Lonchura striata: one gene and its partners. The protein of the gene in region 1 interacts with the protein of each later gene in a pairwise test. Links are inferred from orthologs where the notes say so. Each region holds a gene or a part of one and is shown on either strand. Other genes may lie near its edges.

Region 1 (7,598 bases):
TACAACTGGAAACTTTCCTCACACCTTTTTTTTTTTCCCCAGCTTCTAGGTTGTCATTAAAGCACAGGAGAGCTCACACAGGAGGACACCATAGAAACTGACACAAAATATGCAAGATCAAATGTTTTATGAATTTCTGAAAAGTTATTTGACTCAACAGAGAAAGGTTACCTTATCCTTCACAATGTGGTTGAGTTCTTTTTGCAGCTCCAACACCATTTCCTCAGAGGCTGACAGCTTCTCAGCCATCTCTGTGACCTTGTTTTGTAGCTGTGTGTTCTCCTGCAGATAAAATTGAGATTTCCCTGAGGCAGTGGGTCCTGATACGGCAGGGTGGGCTTTTCAGCCACAGGTCCTCAGCACGGACAGGATGACAGTAAAACAACTGGCACACCAACAGGCCAAACACAGCACAGCTCCCAGGAGACCCTGGACATGGCCTGGTTTTGGCCAGGACAGGGTTGGTTTTTGCAGTGACCAGGAGGGGATGTGGCTAAGGCCCAGATGTTATTCTGTACCACCTCATTCATTGCTGGGGACAGAGGGAAGGCACTCTCTCTCAGTTCCAGGGAGAAGGAGATGCCTTCCAGAGAAAATGTGGCTAGTCTGCAATGAGCATTTTGTTTGTAAATCACTCTCTCTTTTGTAAACTTTTGTTGCTAATATTTTTGCTGTCACTGGTTGTTTCTTATCTCACTGCTGTTTCCAGTAAATTGTGCTTATCTTGACCCATGGTATTTTCCTTTTGTGCCTCCCATTCTCCTCTCCAGCCACTGAAAAGTGGGGAGAGGGAGTGAGCAAGCAGCAGTGTGGTTTGGGGAGTCTTGGTAAGAGAACAAAATTGGGGAGCGCCACTCCTAAACCACGACAGGAAGCACATTGCTGATACCACATGGGCTCATCTCTCCAAAGGACAGGAGTGGGTTTTGCACAGTAAGAGCTAGACAGCCCCACAGATCATCTCTACCTCTGCTCCCCAAAATTGTGCTTTCCCTCACAGCTAACAAAGGCAGCAAGTCCTGAGCTATCTCCATCTGTACTTCTACATTGACCAGAACTGTGGCAATCCCAGGCATGCACACACCATCATCTCTGCCGTTGACATGGTCCCTGGCACAATTTTAGCTTTGGTCACTGTGTTTTAGGTGTTACCAAGGGCCAAATCACTGCCAACAGACAACACAGCAGTTTAGTAATGGCATGGAAAGGTAACAAGCTCTGTATTTAATGCAACTGTATGGATGTGGCTGATGATTCTTCTGCATAAAATTTCTGTTATTCCCAACAAGAGCAAAGTGAACCATCTATATTTGTCACCACCCCTGCTTTTCCACCTCTGAAAGAGAGAAGGTGTTTAATCCAAGGCAGCTGTACTTACATTCATCACATGGTTGAGTCTCCCTTGCAGGTTGGCCTCTTTGCCCTGGAGGAGCCGTGTAGCAGCCTCCAGCTTTGCCTGGTGACTCACTGCTTGCTGCAAAAGCAGCTCTTTTGCCTCCATTTCTGCCTGAAAATTCCTGGGGCAAAAAAGCAACACGGTTGGGACAGACAGAGCATGTTCCTGGATGGCCACAAGCAGGAGATGAGAGCTTTGTTGGAAGGATGCCGAGATCACAGGGGTGGAGAGGGGTCTTCAAGGACTTTCCTGCCACTGACACATTGGCAAAACGAGTGGGAGATTCAAAAGGGATGTGTAGGCACATTTTCTCCACCCCACCAAAAGAAGCCCTCCTACCTGAGCTTGCTCTGGGTGTGCTCCAGAGCGATGCACTGCTCATCCAGCTCCCTGCCCAGCTGCTGGCAGTGTCTCTCTGCCTTCTCCAAACCAAGCCTCGCCTTGTCCCTCTCCCTGGCGATCTGCCTCACCTGGCTCCTGCAGACACATCGAGCAGGGCATGAAGAGACCCCTCAGGCAGCCCACAGAAGGGCCCTCAGGGAAGCAGAGCCCCTACCAGAGGCACTGCAGTTTGTATCTGTAGGAGGTGCCAGCTGCATGCTGGAGGCCACTGCTGGGGACCATGAGTGTGGTGTCCAAAGCTGCAGGCAGCCCTGCAGGCTCTCCTGCTCCTCCGTGCTGCTGCTCCGCCTCTGCAATGACAGACTGAGATCACTTCCTCCCTCTTCTAACAGTTCCAGCAGCATTTCTGTTGTCACACCATCTGACCACCCTCCAGTCTTCCAGGGATGCCCCCCCATCTCACAGATAAGCCTAGATCACATCCACCCCCACATTCCCTCAGCTCTGGGGTGACCAAACCCATCCTGAACCTGGCTGCAAGCGCTTCTCCCACCCTGGGCAGTTGCTCACGTCACCCACCACCACTGATCCAGGCAGAACCAGGGACCCTGAGGATCTCCTCTAAGTCCTTCCAGGGCTCAGGTGGCAATGACAAGTTGAGGCTCGGCAAATCCAGCGTCTTTGCTGAGGCTGGAGAAGTGATGTGGGCCCAGGTAGCTTGGCCAGAAGGACAGGCTGCTTCCTCTGATGCTGAGGAAAAAAACAGCAGGAATAAGTCAGTGGGGCCAAACTGATGGTTTTCAATACCAAAGGGAAGCTTCAGAGATCAAATCAATACTGAAGAACATTTTAGAAACAACCCCAGGCTGCCAGGAGGGAGATGTCCTGAGCTACCCTCCTGGCAGCTACAAGAGCCAGTTTGCAGGCCCAGGCCATTCAGTTTGGCCTCCTTGCTGACCCATCAACACCCAGAATCCACAGAAAGGCCAGCACTGAAAGCTGTATCACTTACAGGGTCTTGTGAAAACTGTCAGGTGGGGACTGACAACCAACATTTTATTTGAACAAAGAGCAGAACCCAGAAAGCTGATACAGAACTCACAACATTTCCAAAAGCACCAATTTTGTACCAAGTTTGGAAGAAGCCAGTCTTCAGAGAGCTGTTACCTCAAAGTCTTAAGCCAAAAGAATGACTTTTTTTTTTTTTTTTGGTCAGGATCCTGGATTGAGCTGTCCTGGCTGTCAGGGTAAGCAGAGATTCACTTCCAACTTAGTACGTTCATGTGGTGTTACTTCAAAAGCAAATGCCCTGCCAGTCCTTGGATCTGAATACACTAAGGAGAAAGAAGTATTTTACATCAAACAAACAAACAAAAGTGGATGAAGCTTGTCCATGCACTAAAAAGAGGACAATCTGTGTTACATGTGAGGTGCAGAGACATCAGCATTCCTGAAGTCAATATTAGAACTGGGGTGATGTTTTTTCCTCTCCTAGGATGTGCACCCCTCTCCATCCCATAAAAAGAACAGGCTCAACAGCCCCCTGTTGTCTTGTTTTACAATCCCACACCACTTAGGCAGGAATTGCTCCTTCTCAGGCAGTTCCCAAGGGAGCCTTTCAGTCACCACGCAGTGGCTCCAGTACAGACCACATCTAAAAACTGTCTTGCAGAACTCTCCCCAGGTCAGCACCCTCAGGTGCCTGACTGAATCCTGTGGAATCACCCATCTGTGAAAAGAAGTATCTTGGCCTGAATTATTCTCAGTAAAACCTGATCCTCCTTTTTTGTTTTTTTTTGGGGTTGGTTGGTTGGTGGGGGACCACGGGAAAATGGATGGAGAAACCCTTCTAAGTGTGTGATGTCTGGATTCCCTACAGGATTGCATTAAAGCATTAAACACGAACGAACTGTCCTGTGCAGGGGCCTGGCAAGGAATTAATTGCTCCTTACCCAAGGTTAGTGGAAATCACCTCACGGAGCTGCGGATCAAGGCCATCAACCAGAATCCTTTTTACAAACCTCATGCCACGGAGCCGCTGAGTCTTGGCTGCTTGGGAGGCACTGACATACCGTGGGAACGGGGCTATGCATCCCCGGGGACGCGGCACTGCAGCATCGGCTCGGCTCCGCTCGGCCCGGCCCGGCCCGGCTCGGCTCCGCTCAGCTCGGCTCCGCTCAGCTCGGCCCGGCCCGGCCCGGCCCAGTCGGGCTCCTGCGGGCTCCCCTCGGCCCCGCCGCCCCGCGCATGCGCCCGGGGGAAGCGGGAGGAGCGGCGCAGGAGGCCGCGGGAGCTGCCGGCGCCTCCTTGCCCAGCTCCTCCTGCCGTGCTGCGGCCAGTTCTGGGCTCCTCAGGGCGAGAAAGGCAGGGAGCTCCCGGCGAGGGTCCAGCGGAGTGTGACAGAGGTGATGATGGTAGCACTGACCTCCCCTCATGAGGGAAGGTGGAGGGGGCAGGGCCTGTTTAGTGTGGAGAGAAGACGGAGAGGGAACTCCCTCAGTACATGCAAATATCTCAAAGGCAGGCGCCATGAGGATGGTGCCAGGCTCTTTCCAGTGGCCATAAACTGAAACACGAGGTCCCACCTCAGGCGGGCGGAACAACTTTGCCGTGGGGGCAGCTAAAGGTCCCTCGCTCTCCGCAGTCGCTCCGGCCCGCCCGTGCCGCGCTCCCGCGCGCGCGCCCCGCCGCCCCCGCGCAGGCGCACGCGCGCGCCGCGCCCCGCGCCGCGGCCGCCCGCCCCGTGGCCGCGCAGGCGCAGAGGCGCGGCCGCGCAGGCGCAGAGGCGCAGGCGCAGAGGCGCGGCGGGCGCGCGGCGGGCGTTGTGCGGCCATGGCGGGGTCCGCGGGGTCCGCGGGCGGCTCGGCGCGGAAGCGCCTCATGAAGGAGGAGGACATGACCAAGGTGGAGTTCGAGACCAGCGAGGAGGTGGACGTGACGCCCACCTTCGACACCATGGGCCTGCGGGAGGACCTGCTGCGCGGCATCTACGCCTACGGTGGGCGGCGGAGTCGAACGAGGAAGGGCCGGGGGGCCGAGCTGAGGGCAGGGAGGGTGAGCTGAGGGCCGGGAGAGTGAGCTGAGGGCAGGGGGGCCCAGCTGAGGGCAGGGGGGCCCAGCTGAGGGCAGGGGGGCCCAGCTGAGGGCCGGGCGCGTTCGCGGGCCGGGGCAGGCCCGGATGCGGGGCCCGCCGTGACCGTGTCCCTTGGCCCCCGCAGGGTTCGAGAAGCCGTCGGCCATCCAGCAGCGAGCCATCAAGCAGATCATCAAGGGCAGGGACGTGATCGCCCAGTGAGTGCGGCCGGGCTGCGGCGGGGGATGCCGTGCACATTCCTCGAGGCTAGAGCGGGATCCGCTCCCGTGCGCCTGGGCCGGTGCCTGGCGGGATGTGGGGAGTGACCTGAAATGGCTGGGACACGGAGACAGGCTGGCCAGAGCAACTGTGGATGTCACGTCCTTGGAAAGGCCCAGGGCCAGGGGGCTTTACTTTCTGTAAAGTGCTGGATGGGACCCTGGGCAGCCTGGTCTAGTGGGAAGTGTCCCCTCCCATGGCAGGGTGGCGTATGGAGCTAGATGTTGTTTAATTCCCTTCCAATTCAAACTGTTCTGTGGTGTTATAATGTGACAAGCAAAACAAAGTTTATTAGGTTTAGTTACTGTAAAAAATATCTCTTAGAGACAAAGAAGGATATGCATCCCACTGAAAAAAATTCTTTCTTGCTCACTAGTGCAAATTACTAGCCTTGCAAATTGCATTGGCTTTACAAGTCATTTGCCTGTAAAAAAGTGTGTGTGGCAGATGGCAGAAAGTTAAAGTGCTGGTCTGATAAGGAGTGAAGGTGCCAGAGCTGGGGACCTTGGAGTGTTCTGTCCCTGGCATTGCAGTTCTCAAAGCTGCAGATCACGCTCTGATCATAACAACATAAACCCTTCGTTGGCACTGTTGAATTCTTTGCAGTGGAGGGGTGGGATGTGTTGAGATTGCCTGTGCTGTTTGTGCACACATGCAGAGTACTCACCAAACACGTTTTCTCAGGTCACAGTCGGGAACAGGGAAGACAGCAACATTCTCCATATCTGTTCTGCAGTGCCTGGATATACAGGTAAGCTCATAGCAGCACATGCTAAAAGTAATTCTTACTAGATCGCTGGTCTTCATCATGAAAGTGTGTTCTTTAAGAGTGAATTAATGAAGCTTTACTTCAAAGTCTTTTAATTACAGGCAGTAAACCTCAGACAGAATTCTGACTGAGAACTTCACCAAACTATAACAATTTAACTGTTAAAGCCAGTCTGGCAAAATAAGTTCAGATGACGTCTTGTAATGATAAAGTTGTCTTTAACAACTGACCTCTTTCACCTCTTAGGGCTAAGTTAATCCCTCAGCAAGCAGAATTGTCTTCAGACAGTCCTAATAGCATCACCAGCCTGTCTGGACAAGTGCCACACGTTGCACAGAATCAAATCTAGGTTTTTGACTGACAGCTGTTTGCTCTTGTTCTGCTCAGGGGCATAATGTCCGTCCAGTCGTTTTGGGGTATAAGTTGGATATGCAGATGCAATTGAATAAAAGGGTGATTTTCAGTGGCTGGGATTGTCACTCATCTGTCACTGTCGGGTGACATAAAAATTAAGGTTGCATGTTCTAAGTGGAAAAGACAGCTTTTGCTTTACTTCTGTAAAGTGCTCATAATACTTTTACAGGTGACACTTCAAAACTTTGTCTAGGAATCCTTGAGCAGTGCAAAGTGTTTATCTGAACCAAACACACAGGGCTGAAGGACTTGAGATTTGTTTCTATTTTGCAAGACATGTACACACCTTTTTTTTTTTTTTTTAGCACAAAATTCTGTGCTAAATCCTTCAGCTGTGACACCTCACAGCTTCGATTCTGTGAGATCCATCACCTCTTCCATGCCTGGCTCTCTGGCTGGCCTGTGATTAACTTGCTTGTGATTCTGTGCTTTAACCAGGTTCGTGAGACCCAAGCCTTGATCCTGGCACCAACTCGGGAGCTGGCTGTGCAGATCCAGAAGGTAGGAGCATTTCCATCCTTGTCTGGAGAGCACTGGCAAGGCCCGGGGCCAGTGCTCTGGTGTTTCTCTAGCAGAGCTCAAAGCACAGCTTCCACTTTTTCTTTCTGTTCCCGAGAGAAATAGCAAAGTATCATCTGATACAGGGTCCTTTGCTCCTCAGTGTTACATTCATTACTCTGGCAGTCTGAGGTTTTGCACAGCCCTGAGTTTTTAAGGTCAGCGCTTCTAAAGCAGTTGTGATCCCTGAGGAACTGAGTTCCCAGTGTTTTAAGGCCGCTGCTGTGGCGATTTGGGTACCAGACGTTACAGGAATCCTTGTGCTGCCATCTCTTTAGAAAGCCCACGTTGTGGCTGCACAGGCCAGCATCTCCTCACAAGTGTGGCCTGGGGAGAGCCGGGCAGTGAGGCCGTGTCTTTGTGCCCTGACAGGGCCTTCTCGCCCTGGGAGACTACATGAACGTGCAGTGCCACGCCTGCATCGGGGGCACCAACGTGGGCGAGGATATCCGCAAGCTGGACTACGGGCAGCACGTGGTGGCTGGCACTCCAGGCCGGGTGTTCGGTAAGGGAATCCTGACCTTACTGTAACACGGAGGTGAGGTGTGACAGGGTAACAACTTACTGCTGTTGTGAAAACTAGAGGGAAATTAGTGCTGGTGGGGTTTTTATTTTCTCTCTTTAGGCTTTGCTTTCCATTGTTGAGGTGACTCTTTATGTGGTGGCTTTGGAAAAAGGAGAAAGTATTACAGTCCCTGAATCTTCAAGGGGATAGGAGCCATGCCTACATGAATGCCAAAATTAAACCCACATTTTCTGTGCACTGG
Region 2 (7,177 bases), on another chromosome or scaffold:
TTCCCAAGCTCTGCTCCATTCCCCAGGAGTGCTGTGCACAGGGCTGAGGGGCTGCCCTGGGAGCTCTTGTGCCTGGGGCTGCAGTCCAGCTTGCTTTGGCATGGTGTGGGGTGGGTGAGTGCAGCCAGCGACCTGGAGGGCCTGGAGGGCAAGGTGTGATGCCCCTGGGCTGAGCATGGCCACTGCAGCCCCATCTCCTGCCCGACCCCCCAGCCCACTGGCCATACACACATGGGAAGACCACAAGGACCTTCTTCAACAGGGAACAATTCAACCTCCACGCCCTGGGGGACACTACTGAGGAGCAGAGGTGCCTTTCCTTGTATCAGCACTGCAGCCAGGCTGCTGTTCTCCCATTAGCTCTGGCTCCAGTGCAGGTGCAGCAGCACTGGCTCCCTCCAGACCAGGTGGGCCAGCCTGCCAAGGAGCCTGGACACACTTCAGACACCTGCCAGGACATCAGGAGGTGTTGTGCTCTTTGGCCAGCACAGCGGGCTGGGCTGTGGAAGGCACTGGGTGCCAAACCTTTATGCCCTGCAGAAGCAGAACTGACAATACCTAGTCCTTGTATGCTGACACTTTTCTGTCTTCAGGCCAGTGCTAAGACTTAGGGACAGTGTCCTTTTTTCTGGGAGGAAAGTCAGAAGGAGGGAGAGGAGAGGTGGAGAAAAAAGCAGACCTAAAATTGGGTGAAGAAAAGCATGCAGACATTTAGACCTCAGTGGTCAGGAAAACACCTTGGCTGAGTCTCTTGCCCCAGTGAGGTAAAACACCTTGTTACTGTTTACTACAAAAGGTGACTGGCACAGTTATATTTATAAGGTTAAAAAAAAAAATCTAAAAGACCAGCTACTTCTGTTCCACCACTGAACTACTTATTTTTACCCTAGAACTATAATGAAAATCCACTCTGGTCAAATTTTTTCTGGGACACTTGAGATGCTGCAGGTTTTTTAGTCATAAACAGTACCCTGTTCAAAATATTATGTCCCATTTATGAAGGCAGGCGTGACTGATACAGCTTCCGAGTTCCAAGGGGCATATTTAAATAAGTAACAGGAACTAATCCATATAGTCAGCTTTCCTTAGGAGCCTGGGGATTTGCATGTCTAAATTTCACTGCGATGAGACTCCAGGATAGGGGATAAAACTCTAGTTAACTTCACTGGAGATAAAACCCAGGCAAGGGCAAAAGCTTGGAGACAGATGTTGCAGTTGAATGAATTTATACCTCAGAAATGCTACTTAGAATGAACAGTCATTGCAAGGAATAATTTTAAAAAGCAAAAGAATCGATTTGGTATAAAAGCTATGTCTCCAAAGGGAGTCAGAGTTCTGTCTTTTAAAGGACATTAATAAAAAATGGGGAAAAGTTTTTCCTCATTGCATATGGCTGAAGAAAACAGGAGGAAGAAGAAATTATAGGGCATAGAGGTTAATATGCATTGGGTATGTGCAAAAGCCAAACTCATTCTTTGCTTTAACTTTTGCTGAGGATGTTAATCATGTGGCTGCAGATGTGAGGGATAATAGGATGGGGGTATGGAAATGTTTGTGGCCGGGATAAAAGCAAATCTCAGGGCTGCTTCCTGCGCTGAAGGCAGAGGAACGGGCTAATCCACATGCCAGAGCTCTGGAAGAACTGGCCCGATGTCTTTAACAGGTCCCTCAGCCAGGGACAGCAGCACAGCAAACCTGTACAGAAGTGAACTGATTTGGGCAAGAAGAGGCATGAAGGTTTCAGCTTAATAGCATAAGGACAGATTCAGAAAAAAAATGGTGAAGGAAAGGCTAACAAAAGAGAGGGAGGTAAATGGCATGAGATGAAATGGTTTTATCAAACCCATTTATCTTTCTTGGGAAAGGCAAGCTGCAAGCCATTTGCTTAGTGAAGGAAATGGGATGGATCTCACCTCTCTGGACTTACATTGCACATTTCATATGGTGCCACATGGAAAGTTCTTAAGAAGAGGGAGAGGTGATTTTGCACAAGGTATAACCCCCCCTTAAAGCTGTAAAGAGATGTGGCATAAGAACAGCAGGGCTGTCAGGCTGGAGAGTAGTTACCAGGAGAGTGTTAAGCATCACTGTAGATCTGGCAAAGTGCTTTTGTAAATGGGCTTGGCACTAGTGTTACTGGAGAACTGGTGAATTTGCTGATGACAGAAAATATGAAGTAACCTCAGGAAAAAGGAGGCTTGAAATATTACACAGAGAAAGGTAGATAGCAGAAAGTGCTGGTCATAGGTACAAATGACCAAAGCCTTTCCTACAAGCTCCCTGGCAGCTCACACTCTGATCACCAAGTAACTGACTTGCCAACAGTGGAAATAGGAAGTGAGAAATGCAGTCCTGGAAGGCAGCAGGAGAGGTGCAGCCCAGGCTGCACTGAAGGCTGGGGTGAGCTTGAGCAGAGGCTATCTCACTTCATTTTGCAAAGCAAATACTGTGAGCATGAGGTTTTCTCTGCATAAATACTCCCGGGAAGGGAAGAGAGGAGAGCTGATGGTGCTAAGGGCCAGTGCTGGTAACAGAATAAATGATCAAAAGGAGCCATCAGACATTTTGATTAGGAGACCATTACTAACCATTTGACAATGTGGTTCTAGAATGTCTTCCCCACTGCAGTTGTCCATGCAAAATATTGAACTGCTTTGAGGATGGAACTTGGCAAGGTCATGATAAGGATATAAATCACATGGCGCCTTTGATAGGAGACCTGATAGCACAGAAGTTCCTGCCAGTCCTAAGCACAAAGGTAAATGTTCTGTAAGCCCCTGTCCATGTAAATATAGAGCATGTGATTATATACACACAAAAAGCAGGCACATGATTTATTAATCACAGGACCGCAGCTTGTCAAATAATAATTACAAGGCAATAACACACCTTGTTCTAATAAATGGCTTCCTAAGATTTTCTCCCACAGTAAACCAGTAAAAAGGGACAATTATTCTGAGGTAGAGGTGGCATTTTGTGTTTCTGGTTGTTAGCTTTTAAATGAACTCACCGTCTGGAACTCAAATCAAGTTCTTCCATTTTTCTGCACATTTCACAAGTTCAGCCCTTTCCAGTAAAGCGTCTTTTCAGATGCGTGATTGCCCTTTGTTAAGGCAAGAATGAACAGATGACAGCGGCAGCACGGAGGAGACATGCCTGGAACAGTTTACCGGGGCGATCCCACTGCTGCCGCTGCCAGGAGGGTGTACTCAGAGCCCCGAACAGGGCAGGCTGCTTGTGCAATGTGAGGGGCAAGTCCTGGGAAGCCACGAGAGAGACAGGCAGGCAGTGTTTCGGGGAAGTGTTTATGCAAAGCCACGGCAGCGGGTGACCCTTCGGTCTCCGCGCCTGGGCAAACGCAGCGCGGTCCCTCCCCAGCTCCGCAGGGCGCCCAGCCCCGACGGGCGCTGCGCAGCCAGGTCTGCAGCACAGCCCCGCTCCCAGCGCCCGCATCGAGCTGCGCGAGGATGTTCGAAAGCAGCTCGCATTACTGAGCATTTAAAAAAGTGAAGGCGTGTTTTTGTACCCTTTCAACCTGGAGCTGACGCTGCCTGATGAAAAAGAATGGGTTTGCTGTGTTTGCAGTTCACTTCGTGAAGGCACCTTAGCAGAAGATGCAAAAATAAAAGTAGTCTGAAGGGAAAGAAAGCAGAAGGCCAAGAGACAGGCAACTGAACAGAGCAGATTGATTTAACAGATATGATACATTTTTGCTGTCTGCATTATGTGTGGAAATTCGTATTCCAAGTGACACAGTAACAGACTCGACTGTAACCAAACAGCTCTGCTGAGGTGTCAGGAGCACAGATGCTGCCTATCGAAAATATTTAAAACAGAAAGTAAAACTTTGAAAAATCCGCGGTGGGGAGTGCAAGGGAAATAAACGTTCGGTAGTGTTTCTAACCCAAGGCAACTTCTCTCGGCTTTCGCTGCTCTCTCTGGTGCGGGAGGTCGGAAGCAGCTCAGCCAGCGCTCGGTGAGCAGCAAAGGCCAGCCCGGCCCGGGCAGCGGAGCCACGCGGTGCCCAGCGTGCGGGGGAAGGGCTGCTCCCCGCGCTTTGGGGAGCTCCAGCCAATGGATCCCTCCCCTGGGTGTTACGGGAGGGCTTGGCCTGCCTCTGAGAAAGGGAGGGCAGAGTTTGAAAACAACTCGAAGGAAGGAAGGCTGCTCGAAAGTGACCTGCTCGCCTCCGTGCAAGCATTTCGCTCCAGGTGATCGGCGGCTGTAGGGGTGGAAGCGCAGAGGGGCCGGGCGGCACAGGTAACCCGGGGTGCAGGTGTCGGGCGGCGGCTCCGGCTGGACACCCCGCGCTGGCTGCCTCGAGCTGCAAATCCACCACAAACGCTCCAAAGATTTTGACTGTGGTGTTTTTTTTTTTTTTAAATGTCAGGAGGAATTTTGCTGTTTTGTTTTCATGAGGATTTTTGATCGTGTGTTTGCTATTAATATGTCTAGGGGAGGGAGCGAGTAGGTCTCTACAGCTCAGAGGTTAGCATGTGATCAGCTGTTTTCTTGTTGTTGCAGGCAGGTTTGAGGTTAAAAAGGGAAAAAGAGGTGATGTCTTTTAGTAGGCTGGTTGATACAATGGAAAAATACAAGTTATCTTTCATGCACATAAGCTCTTTTTCAGGTCATAGTGCTTCAGAAATCAGATGAGATTTTCAGTGATTGATAACCCACGTGCTAATAGAGATATACAGCAGAAGAAAGAAAAAAACACGCAATTTTGTTGTCTGGAGGTGTGCTGGATGGTTTGGGGGTTTTCCTCTTCTTTTGACCTCTGATCCAGCTTTTAGGCTTCTTGGAAGTGAATCAGCCCTAAACTTTAGTAGAAAATCCTTTAGCAATTTTCCATGGCGCTTTAAAAGGTGTAATTGGCATGATGCCATATTTTGTGCCATCTTCTCTTGTGCAGGTTCTGGCTACTGTTTCAGTCTCTCTGTCACCTCTTTCTTTACTGAAAAATCTCTTTAAAGCCCCACTCTGCCTTGCAGGGAAAGCTAAATTCCATGGTGAATGTTAATAGGTAGAATTTCTTTTCCAAATCCTGGTGATGACACTGTGGTAGTTTGCTTGGTACGCACGAGTCAGCAGAGGTGCAGAGAGCAAACTAGGAACTATTTTTTGATTGATGGGGAAACAACATCTTTTAAAGCTGCCTCTAGGTTGCATGTGAAAAAAATCTTGTGTGAGCATGTTGGACTGTTCCGACATGAAAAAGTCTGCAATTTAATGCCTTCATGAGCAAGAAAGGTTTTCTTTCTGTCATTTAGCTGGTGGGGGAAGTATCATGAAAACATGGCAATCGTGCTGCACATTCTTTTAACAGATAGTTGTTGTTTTAGATCTTAAATCTATTTTGGATGATTCATGCAGAGCCAGGCCAGTAAATTAATTCAGAGGCTCTTACACAAGGGAACTTTGGCTTTTATTTCAGTCAGAAGAGTACCAATCAGGAGTGGAATTATACAGGAAAAATATTTAATAACACTACAAAAGTCAAGTCATAATCTGGTTAACTGGGGAGGTTTCTCTCACTGGCAGCTGGAAAATCCTGCAGTGCACAAATACCAAAGCAGAAGTGATCTGTATTTGCTTCCCTCATTGCTTGGGCTCTCTGGAGTGACAAATTAGGGAGAAAACAAAGGGTGAGCTGAGTTTTGAGGAGAGACCTGAACGGAGGCAAAGCACAATTAGAGGAGACTGTCATCTCTAATTAGGTGTGTGCCCTCAGGCAGTTGGTATAAAAGTAAACTAAAACAAGGTGGGAAGTTTGGAAGGACATGCACAGCCTGGCTGTCAATCCCAAACCTGATCCTCAAACGTGTGTGAAGCTTTCCCAAGGGGGGGAAGGCGGCAGCTCTGCCCGCCGGGGGCCGAGCAGCAGGAATGCCGCCGGCCAGCTGCGGTGCTGCCCGGCACCCTGCCCCGCACCCTGCCCCTCACCGAGCCCCGCACCCAGCCCCGCACCCTGCCCCGCACCCTGCCCCGCACCCAGCCCCTCATCCGCCCCGCACCCTGCCCCGCACCGAGCCCCGCACCCAGCCCCGCACCCTGCCCCGCACCCTGCCCCTCACCCTGCCCCGCACCGAGCCCCGCACCCTGCCCCGCACCCTGCCCCTCACCCTGCCCCGCACCGAGCCCCGCACCGAGCCCCGCACCCTGCCCCGCACCCTGCCCCGCACCGAGCCCCGCACCCAGCCCCGCACCCTGCCCCGCACCGAGCCCCGCACCCAGCCCCGCACCCTGCCCCTCATCCGCCCCGCACCCTGCCCCGCACCCTGCCCCGCACCGAGCCCCGCACCCAGCCCCTCACCCTGCCCCGCACCCTGCCCCTCACCCTGCCCCGCACCGAGCCCCGCACCCAGCCCCGCACCCTGCCCCTCATCCGCCCCGCACCCTGCCCCGCACCCAGCCCCGCACCGAGCCCCGCACCCTGCCCCTCATCCTGCCCCGCACCCAGCCCCGCACCCAGCCCCGCACCGAGCCCTGCACCCAGCCCCTCATCCTGCCCCGCACCCAGCCCCTCATCCTGCCCCGCACCCAGCCCCTCATCCTGCCCCGCACCCAGCCCCTTATCCTGCCCCTCATCCTGCCCCGCACCCAGCCCCGCGCTGAGGGAAGGGCTTGGGCGGGCAGGCAGCCAAAGGCCCGAGCTCCCCTTGTCAGCAGAGAGAAACACACGCCGATAAGAGTTAACAGATTCTTTTTTCTGATGGCTTTGATGCTTCGGAAAAGGAAGAAAAATTGGCTTTTAATTAAATTAGTAGGCCAGCACGTGGAGGAGGAACCAGGCACAGCTGCCCCGGTGCCAGCACCCAGCACCCCCAGGCGGGATGTGGGGAGCCGTTCTCCCGCATCCCGGGGCCGCCGCTTCGCCCGGCCCTGCCCCTGGAAGGGCTCGGGCGGCGCTGTCCCGGTGCAGGTGGCACTGTCCCGGTCCCGGTGGCGCTGTCCCGGTCCCGGTGGCACTGTCCCGGTCCCGGTCCCGGTGTGGCCGCCCCGCGCCGTGTCCCACAGGGACATGGAGGAACGGCTCAGGCGCCCTCACCCCCGCCCCCCGCACCAATGGCTCCTTCCCGCTCGCACCCCCCGGACCCACTCGCGATGGTCTCGCCCTCCCCGCTCTCCCCGGCCTTCCCTCCGAGCCCAACGCGCGCCGAGCTCCGCCCGCCGA
Region 3 (7,759 bases), on another chromosome or scaffold:
TGGCTATCAATAACAGTTTTCTAAGATAATTCTGGTTGCAGTAACTATGTCACTCCTACAGATTCTGTTGTAAGATGACATTAAGCCTAATTCTGATTTAAGCTGTTGGATGCCCTTAGGAAATCTCTACATTCAAGCTGTATTTGAGAGGAATTACAATTTCTATAAAACTAGCACATAACAGTATTCCCTCTCTCATAACACATATGAAGACAGAAGAGATGGCAACACTGTAGATACAAGACATGATTTCAAGTGCATTATAAAACTGAAAATAAAGTGCAGGTTCCCATAGAAAAGGACAAGGCTCGTTTCGATCACCATTCAATTTAGCATTAAGTCATCATTAGATTTTTTTTCCTTTTTTTTTTTTTTTTGACTAATTTTTAGTTTGCAAGCAAAACTGAGATAGCACAAAAGCAATCTGGCATTGCAGCTTGTGACCCAACAGGCAAAAAACCCCACACATGGCAATTGAACACTTACTATATACCTCTTCTTGTTTTGACTTTCTGCCTAAGATCATGCAAAAGATCTCAAACAGTTATCAGACTTTTAGGATTTTTTTTCTCCTAGTCTTCACACTTACCAATTACCTACCCAAATGAAGCTAACTTTCAGCCTTCCTGAAAAAAATTCACAGTATCCCTCCAGAGTTTCCACAAATGGCTTTTGGTTTCTTTTTTTGCTTGTTTGTTTTGCTGGAGCAAGTGCACACTTCTTAAAATACAATACAAAAATATAAAGACTTTTCTTCTAGACTTTTCTTCAGGTCCCCTTAGGAAAATGTACAGAAGTAAGTAAAAAGAGATATGCTAGGACTTGATTTTGGGAATCTTTTCTAGAAGGAAAGAAACTTTTGGACCACTGCTGCTGCAAAGATTAGTTTGCAAACAGTTTTGCTTGATTCACAGTCATTTTTGGCCTCACACACACTAAGACACACAAATTCCACAAATACTCCAGCAAACTATGGAAAGCAAAATTTTAAAAAACTTGCACTGTTTTAAAAAATATTTTTGTTGATATAACACAAATTCTTTCATACAAAAACTCTGAGATGAAGAAACTGAGAAAAATGTATAAATAAAAAAGACAGAAGGAATTTCTGCATCCCTCAGAAGAACATGGATGAGTTGTCTTATGTTGAGTGGCTCTGAAAGCGTATGAGGACAGAGTGCCCTAGCACTAGGGCTTATCTCACAAAATGTCCAGCTGTTATTTACTCACAGTTTTATTTCATCTTAAAGCCAAGATGTAGAAAAATAAGAGAATATCAAAGCCTTAGGGTAGGATGAAACCTTAGTGTCTGAGATAAGATAATCAGTCTCTGAAGAACAAAACCTTCAAACATCAATATCATTTGGTCTGGTGCTCCTACAAGTTTTGGTAAGGGGGTGTAGGAGAAATCCACACCAAAGCTTTGCAATTGATTCAAGTTTGTGCAGCACCTCTCACCAAATTCATGAGACAGTGAAACACCACTGTTTTATTAAAAAACAACCCTAAGAACAAACCACTGTGATCTCTCATCTTCCTCAAAAATAATAAACACACTTTTTGTGGTGATGCAGCTTTGTGGAAACAAACACAATTAGACCTCATTCTAAAATGAGCAACATACTAATTGGAAGTGGGGAATCAATTATTCCCCAGGAATTCAGGGCTATCAGCAGTCTGAGATCAAACATGGTAGTTTATACAGCTTTCACAAGTTCCTGATGAAAATAAGCCACACTGAGCCTCTACTGTACATTGAAACAGATTCCTCCCCTTCCCCACCTCATTTTTTTAAGTTAAGCTGGTTTTACTTCACATTTTGAAGTGTTCTTATTCCTCCCTCACTGGAATTTTATTAATTCCTGTGAGCTGGATCAAAAACATGCACAGAATAGCCCTTCACAGGTTAGAGTTGACATGAAGCCTTTCTGAGGAAACCATATGTGTGAAGCTTGTCAGTTCTTAGCCTGAAAATCCAAGACCACTGAAGTGACACACGGTGCTCCCAAAGCCATCTGTCTGTGTGTGCCTTCAGCGCTGAATCCCCCGGCAGCAGAGCAACCCCACGGCTCCGGCAGGAGCAGGGCTCCCTGTGGCAAGCACATTTCTCTCACTCTCAGGATTTTTCATAGAGGTGCACAGAGAGAAATGAAAGAGAAAACAATTTCTATTTCTGCTCCTTGTTTTTCCTATGTGGAATGTGTTTGGAGAATTGTTTACCTGGAGTGAGTGCTTGATTGGATTTTGGTGAGGATGGTTTGAGCCTGATGGCCAATCCAATCCACCTGTGTCTGGACTCTCGAGAGAGAGAGGGTCACGAGTTGTGTTAAAGTAATATTAGTATTTTCCTTTTATATAGTATATTAATGTATTTTAGCATAGTTATAATAAATAAATAATTCAGTCTTCTGAATTGAGTCAGACATCATAATTTCTTCCCATTGGGTTCACCTGCATTTACAAGAGCTCTCCTCTGTCCTGCTCCATGTTTTTCCCTGCCTGCTGATGCTCCATGAGAGAGGACCTGAGCTGAGCTTATCTCACCACACACTCGGTTCTGTACAGCATCAGCAACCCTGCCTCATTCCCAACCCAGGCATGCCTAGCCAGACCTCTGCTACCCACAGAAAAATCCACTGCTTCTTGCAAGAACACAAGTGCCAGCTCTCCAATCTTCACAGCAGCACGAGCCAGCTTGGAATTTCTAGGATTAATTCCTTTTTCCACATCCTGTCATGCAACTCAGTAGCACAGATTTTCCTTACAAACTTGGTGATTAATCTCATCCTCAACCAGAAAGGAGTATTTTAAGAACCAACCCTGGCCTGAGTTTGGGTTGTTTTTCCTTCTCAGTGTTGTCGCTAGGTGAGGTTTGAACAGGCAACAATAAATTATTTGTTGAAGTGTGATTTAATTAGAACAGCACAGATGTTTTCATACATTTGTCCTATTTTCCAGTAATGTGTGTTTCTCCTTTTCCAGTGCAAATTAAAATACTTTATGGTTTTAATATGACCTGCACTTCTCTGTCCCTGCTGTCTCTCACCAATTCCCCTTTTAAACAGCCAAAAGCAGGACAGTTTCACTGTCAGAAATTGCTTCACAGGGCAGAAATCGTTCTTTCTCTATTGCACACTTTGCACTCCCTGGAATACAGGTGCAGCTTTCTTAGCAACTGATTACCTCCTTCAGCTTTGCAATTCTGTCTCCATAAACTATTAAACATGGGCCTGACCCAGCCTGCCAAACACAAAAGCAATACATTTCCAAACTCAGAGAACTGTTTCTGGTGCTTCTATCAGCTGTCACACTGCCAAGCAACATCAGAGCACCTTGTATTTTTCTAGTTTATTAAAGACAAGTGAGAGGCAGCCTTTTCTTGCACAGATAACTATGATCTTCAGTATTTCAACTAAAACCTATCAGAGAGTCCTTTTTCTCCATGGGGATGAAAAATGATATAAAGAGTTACCCAGTATTATTAAAACTCCGAAACACACTCCCAAGACTACCTGTGCTCCTGTCTGAGGTTACAGAGCTGGATCAATCACATGTAAGTGGGTTTGTACTTGGCTGTTTCATTCAGGTCTCATCTCTGTGGCACTCACCAAGTAAGGCAGGAAAGAGAGTTTTAGATTGGGTTGGTTGGGTTGGGTTTTTTCCTGGTTGTGTTTGGGTTTTTTTTTTTTAATGTGGTTTGCTTTTTGGGTTTTTTTTTCTCTTGACGATACCAAACCCCTCAAGTTATGAGGCTCTCAAGGTTTTGATAGGGGGTTGAGTCAAACTTCGCTCTTTTTTTTTAGGTGTTAATCAGTAGCTATAGCTGGATGGTTGTGATTAAGCAATTGCATTGTGAGCATCATATGTTTGGCTAATCTGCTGTTTTAAGAAAAAGAGAAGACAATCCCCAAATGAATGGGCTGCCTGGATGAGAAGCACCAAGAGTGAACTGAGCAGTACCTGGGGAAAGGTGATTTTGGCAGTAGGAGATCGTGAGAGCTCACTGACCACCTACTGAAGACGGGCCCCAGAATCAAACAGAGGGAAGAATTGTGCCTGCAGACTAATCAGCAGGAGAAGCAAGAAATAGAACTAGCAAATAGGGGTGCTGAGTAATCTACAACCAAGGAATGTTGATGCCTTTTATTAAGTTGTATAGAGTGTGAAGTTTGGATGATCGGTGAATTAACCTTCCATGGGTCACCACCCAGCTCCCCACTCTGCACAGACAAGAATAAAAAGTATAAAAAATACCCGACCTCAGTGCGTGACTTGACACTGGCACCATGTAATGAGTCCACATTGATGCCAAATTTGAACTACGTTTGAGCCCACCCCAGCTGTGGGCCAGCCTGCAATCCTGCCACATTCTGGCCACAGCGGCTACCCCCAGCCCAGGGCACCCACAGAGCCCAGGGCACCCACAGAGCCCAGGGCACCCACAGAGCCCAGGGCAGCCCCAGCTCTGTCACAGCGGCTGCACGAGGACATTTCCAGTGTGACGCCTGAAGGATTGGTCCCAGCCGCCAGAAACGCTCGTTTTCACGCTCGGTTTGAGCACAGGGATGCCCCAGCGCCAGGGCGGCCCGCACCGAGCCCCGGCCGGCCCTGACCTCCCCAAGATGGCGGCAGCGCCGCCCGGCCTCTCAGCAGCGCTGTCGCGATAGCGCCGCGCTCCCGCCGCGCTTTACGGCGCGGCCGCCCGGCGAGGAAGGCGCAGCGGGGCCGGCCCCGCCATGGACCGCAGGAAAAAGCCGCTGGACGTGGCCGCGTCCTCGGTGAGTGGCTGAGCGAGGAGAGGCAAAATGAACCTCTCCGCCTGCCCAGGAGGTTTTGTAGGGCTGTGAGGTGTGCTCAGCCGCGAGGCTCCCGCGGGCGGGGTGGCCTGGCCGGCGCAGGCCGTGAGGCTGGACGCGGGGACCCGCTGGTGCCGGCGCTTGCAGGGGAGCGGCTCCCCTGGGACGGGCTGGTGCTGTCCCCTCGCCCTCACCCCACTGCCATGGGTAGCCACGGCAGCAAGTGCTGCATTAAAGGGCTGTGGGAGGCCGCATATCGGGTGTGTGGAGATGTCGGGGCTGGGGTTTTGTCCCCTCGCCTTCCTGACCCGACGCACGCCCTGCGCTCCTAACCCGAGTCTGCCGGGCCTGGGTTTGCGCATTCCTCATGCAATGATTAAATCGGGGGGGAAAGGGATTTAAAAAATCAGCCTTAAAAATCAGCCTTAAAAATCAGCCGTAAAAGGGAAAAGAGTTTTCCTAAGGAGCAGGATGTCTATGCTGTGGCAGATTAACTTCCCACCCTTAGGGATGGTGAGGTGCTGCCTCTCGCTGCTCTCCAGGGCGCTCACGAGAGCTGCCAAACACTTCAGATGAAGAGCTATGTAAATAGTTAATGTATGCTAACAGTTAACTGTGAAATATTTTACATTGACTTTCTGGATGATCACCTCTAAGCAGAAGGGAGAACGAGTGATTTTTAAGACACTGCACTTCGTTGTCCCAGGGAGCTGAAAAGCAAATGCTTTTGAGAGAAATATTAATACCAAAGTTACCCACTTTCCTGGTTTAATGTGCAACTCTGAATTTTGTCATCTGTAGGACTTGCAGGAAAAGTAGCATAATATCCTCTTCCAAACTAGTTTTGTAATCCTAAGGTAACACCCCTGCCGATGATGTTTCTTAATAAAAGCTGAGATAGACCTTGCTAATGGATGGTAATGCTACTCATATATTTCTTTAAAAAGAAGGAGAAAGAAAATCCAAAACTATTAAACAGTACATAAAGCAATGGGGAAAATACATATTTTATTATAGCAAACTTTTATAAATTATTTCCTGAGACAGGAGTTTATTAATTATCTAATGGTTAAAAGTTCCTTTGTCATATTCAGTAGTGTTTTTCATTACTCCTTCTCTATTTGTTTGCCATTAGGAGGCTGGTAAAATCTAGACAGAGCTATGTCTCTCTTATCCTCAAAATATCGAGGATATCTTTTGGGATTGTTTTAATCCCTAATCATAATTTGCATTCTGTGGTTTTTTTATATTGTTTGCTGTAGCTGATCTTGGTGATCAGATCAGTGCTTCAAAGTTCCATATAAAAATGCAGCCAAATGCTCCTATAACTGTAGCTAACAGATTATTTTCCTAGAGATACAGTTGTTTATTGCAGTAGCTGATGTCTGTGCCTGTGATCTGTTATTTATGTGGTGTTTTGCTGCTGGTGTAGCTGGTAGATCTCAAAGCTGAACTCTTCCGAAAGCAAGAGGAATTCAAGAAAGAAAAGCTGTTGAAAGATGCTGGTGCCTTTGCAAAGCCCAGAACTTCTAATAAGGTAAAAATAATCTTCCATTGTTGTTTTTGTCATTCTTTCTCCTGAAAGTAAGGAAGTCAATATTCAAATCTAAATAACAGCAAATACTCAGAGCTGTGTTTCTATTCAAATATAAAATGTACACGATGAGAACATTCTTTAAAGTTCATTTCTAGGTGAGATTCCTGTGCACAGCAGAAAGCTTAGTCTTGTGCTTCTACCCATCTAAATCCCCATTTAATCTTCATTCCCCAAGGCTGATTATAGGAAAAGTTGTTTCTTTTTTTATTAGAGGATTTTGTATAATGCTGCAGGATGGAGGATGAGAGATTCTTCTACAGTCACCGAATTTCATTCATAAATGCTCTGCTGTCTGTTTGTGGTGTACAATAATGAATACACAATTATCTCTCTTGTTTTGCTCTGTACTGCACTTTGGGTTTTGTTCATTCTGTAGCTTTCTAGAAGTTGAATGTGCTGTTCCTACCATATTTGAAGCACATGCAGCATTTACAGTGTTATGCTGCAAACAGGTCACCTGATTGTATTTCTTCTCTAAAATGGTGACAATAGAGAATAGAAACAATTTTTAGCTTTGTTAGCATTTAATCAGCAAGATTGCATGATTGAGTTTTTTTAACCTTAACATCTCTGCCAGAATAGATTTTGTCTGATTTCTGAGTGCCTTTGGGTTTTTTAAGGCCTTCTCAGCTTGCCCTTAACTATAATACTATCCTGCAGCCAGTGTTAATTCAGGATATATCTGCTGTATCCTGCAGCACAGGAATATCTCAAGTCAAACATGTATAAGATGTTATTTACAAAGTCTTCCATGATTCATGTGCGTTTGTTTACATTATAGAGTTTAAATACTTTTTTAATTGTTACCATTTCAATATTTTAATCTATTTATTTGTTGTTACAAAATTGTCCTCTTCAGAAACCAAGTATCTGGACCAAGCAGAACACAGGAGTTGCAAATCGAGCTGCGAAAGATGTTGAGCAGAAGGCAGAAGAGCAGGATATATTGGATAAATCAAGGTAGCTCTTAGGCTCTGTAAGGAAGAAATGCTTTGCAGAATTTGCTTTTTGGTATTTAGAAAAGCACAGAAAGAAGTTTTTGGACCAGCAGTTCTCATTAGACCAACCAGTAATTCCAGCATCATCCATACCTTATACCAGTAGCATATAAACTGCATCCCAGCAGTCTCATGCTCTCATGACTTCACATTATCACAGTTCTAAATGTCAGCTTACTGATTTTTTTTAAAGTCATCTTTAGAATTACCAGCCAGTGCAGTGACATGTTAGAATTCTATAGCAAAGTGTTTCTTAGGCTTGACAGAAAATGGCTCACATTTTCAAGAATTACCTCATTTTCTAAATGGGTTGGTTATACAAAAAGATATATGTGGAAAATGCCATTTATAAATCATTTGCTGTGCTT

The links.
Region 2: the proteins of EIF4A3 (region 1) and PDCD4 interact in binary tests that used the Homo sapiens proteins (3 or more experiments, as listed by UniProt). The two-hybrid records come from large-scale screens. The link is inferred for Lonchura striata from reciprocal best matches to the Homo sapiens genes EIF4A3 and PDCD4.
Region 3: the proteins of EIF4A3 (region 1) and CCDC174 interact in binary tests that used the Homo sapiens proteins (3 or more experiments, as listed by UniProt). The two-hybrid records come from large-scale screens. The link is inferred for Lonchura striata from reciprocal best matches to the Homo sapiens genes EIF4A3 and CCDC174.

The regions. Positions count from the first base shown.
Region 1 is NW_027461098.1:318,070-325,667, reverse strand, and holds the start of EIF4A3 (eukaryotic initiation factor 4A-III), read left to right. Parts: upstream 1-4,511; 5' UTR 4,512-4,570; coding exon 4,571-4,736; intron 4,737-4,956; coding exon 4,957-5,029; intron 5,030-5,774; coding exon 5,775-5,841; intron 5,842-6,711; coding exon 6,712-6,774; intron 6,775-7,203; coding exon 7,204-7,336; intron 7,337-7,598. Other genes in the region: uncharacterized protein LOC110474848, read right to left, coding at 172-282, 1,379-1,517, 1,736-1,873, 1,953-2,020. UniProt on the Homo sapiens protein: ATP-dependent RNA helicase. Involved in pre-mRNA splicing as component of the spliceosome. Core component of the splicing-dependent multiprotein exon junction complex (EJC) deposited at splice junctions on mRNAs.
Region 2 is NC_134609.1:23,127,975-23,135,151, forward strand, and holds the start of PDCD4 (programmed cell death protein 4), read left to right. Parts: upstream 1-4,129; 5' UTR 4,130-4,211; exon of another isoform or gene 4,212-4,260; intron 4,261-7,177. UniProt on the Homo sapiens protein: Inhibits translation initiation and cap-dependent translation. May excert its function by hindering the interaction between EIF4A1 and EIF4G. Inhibits the helicase activity of EIF4A. Modulates the activation of JUN kinase.
Region 3 is NC_134614.1:15,133,053-15,140,811, forward strand, and holds the start of CCDC174 (coiled-coil domain-containing protein 174), read left to right. Parts: upstream 1-4,690; 5' UTR 4,691-4,736; coding exon 4,737-4,778; intron 4,779-6,228; coding exon 6,229-6,333; intron 6,334-7,252; coding exon 7,253-7,353; intron 7,354-7,759. UniProt on the Homo sapiens protein: Probably involved in neuronal development.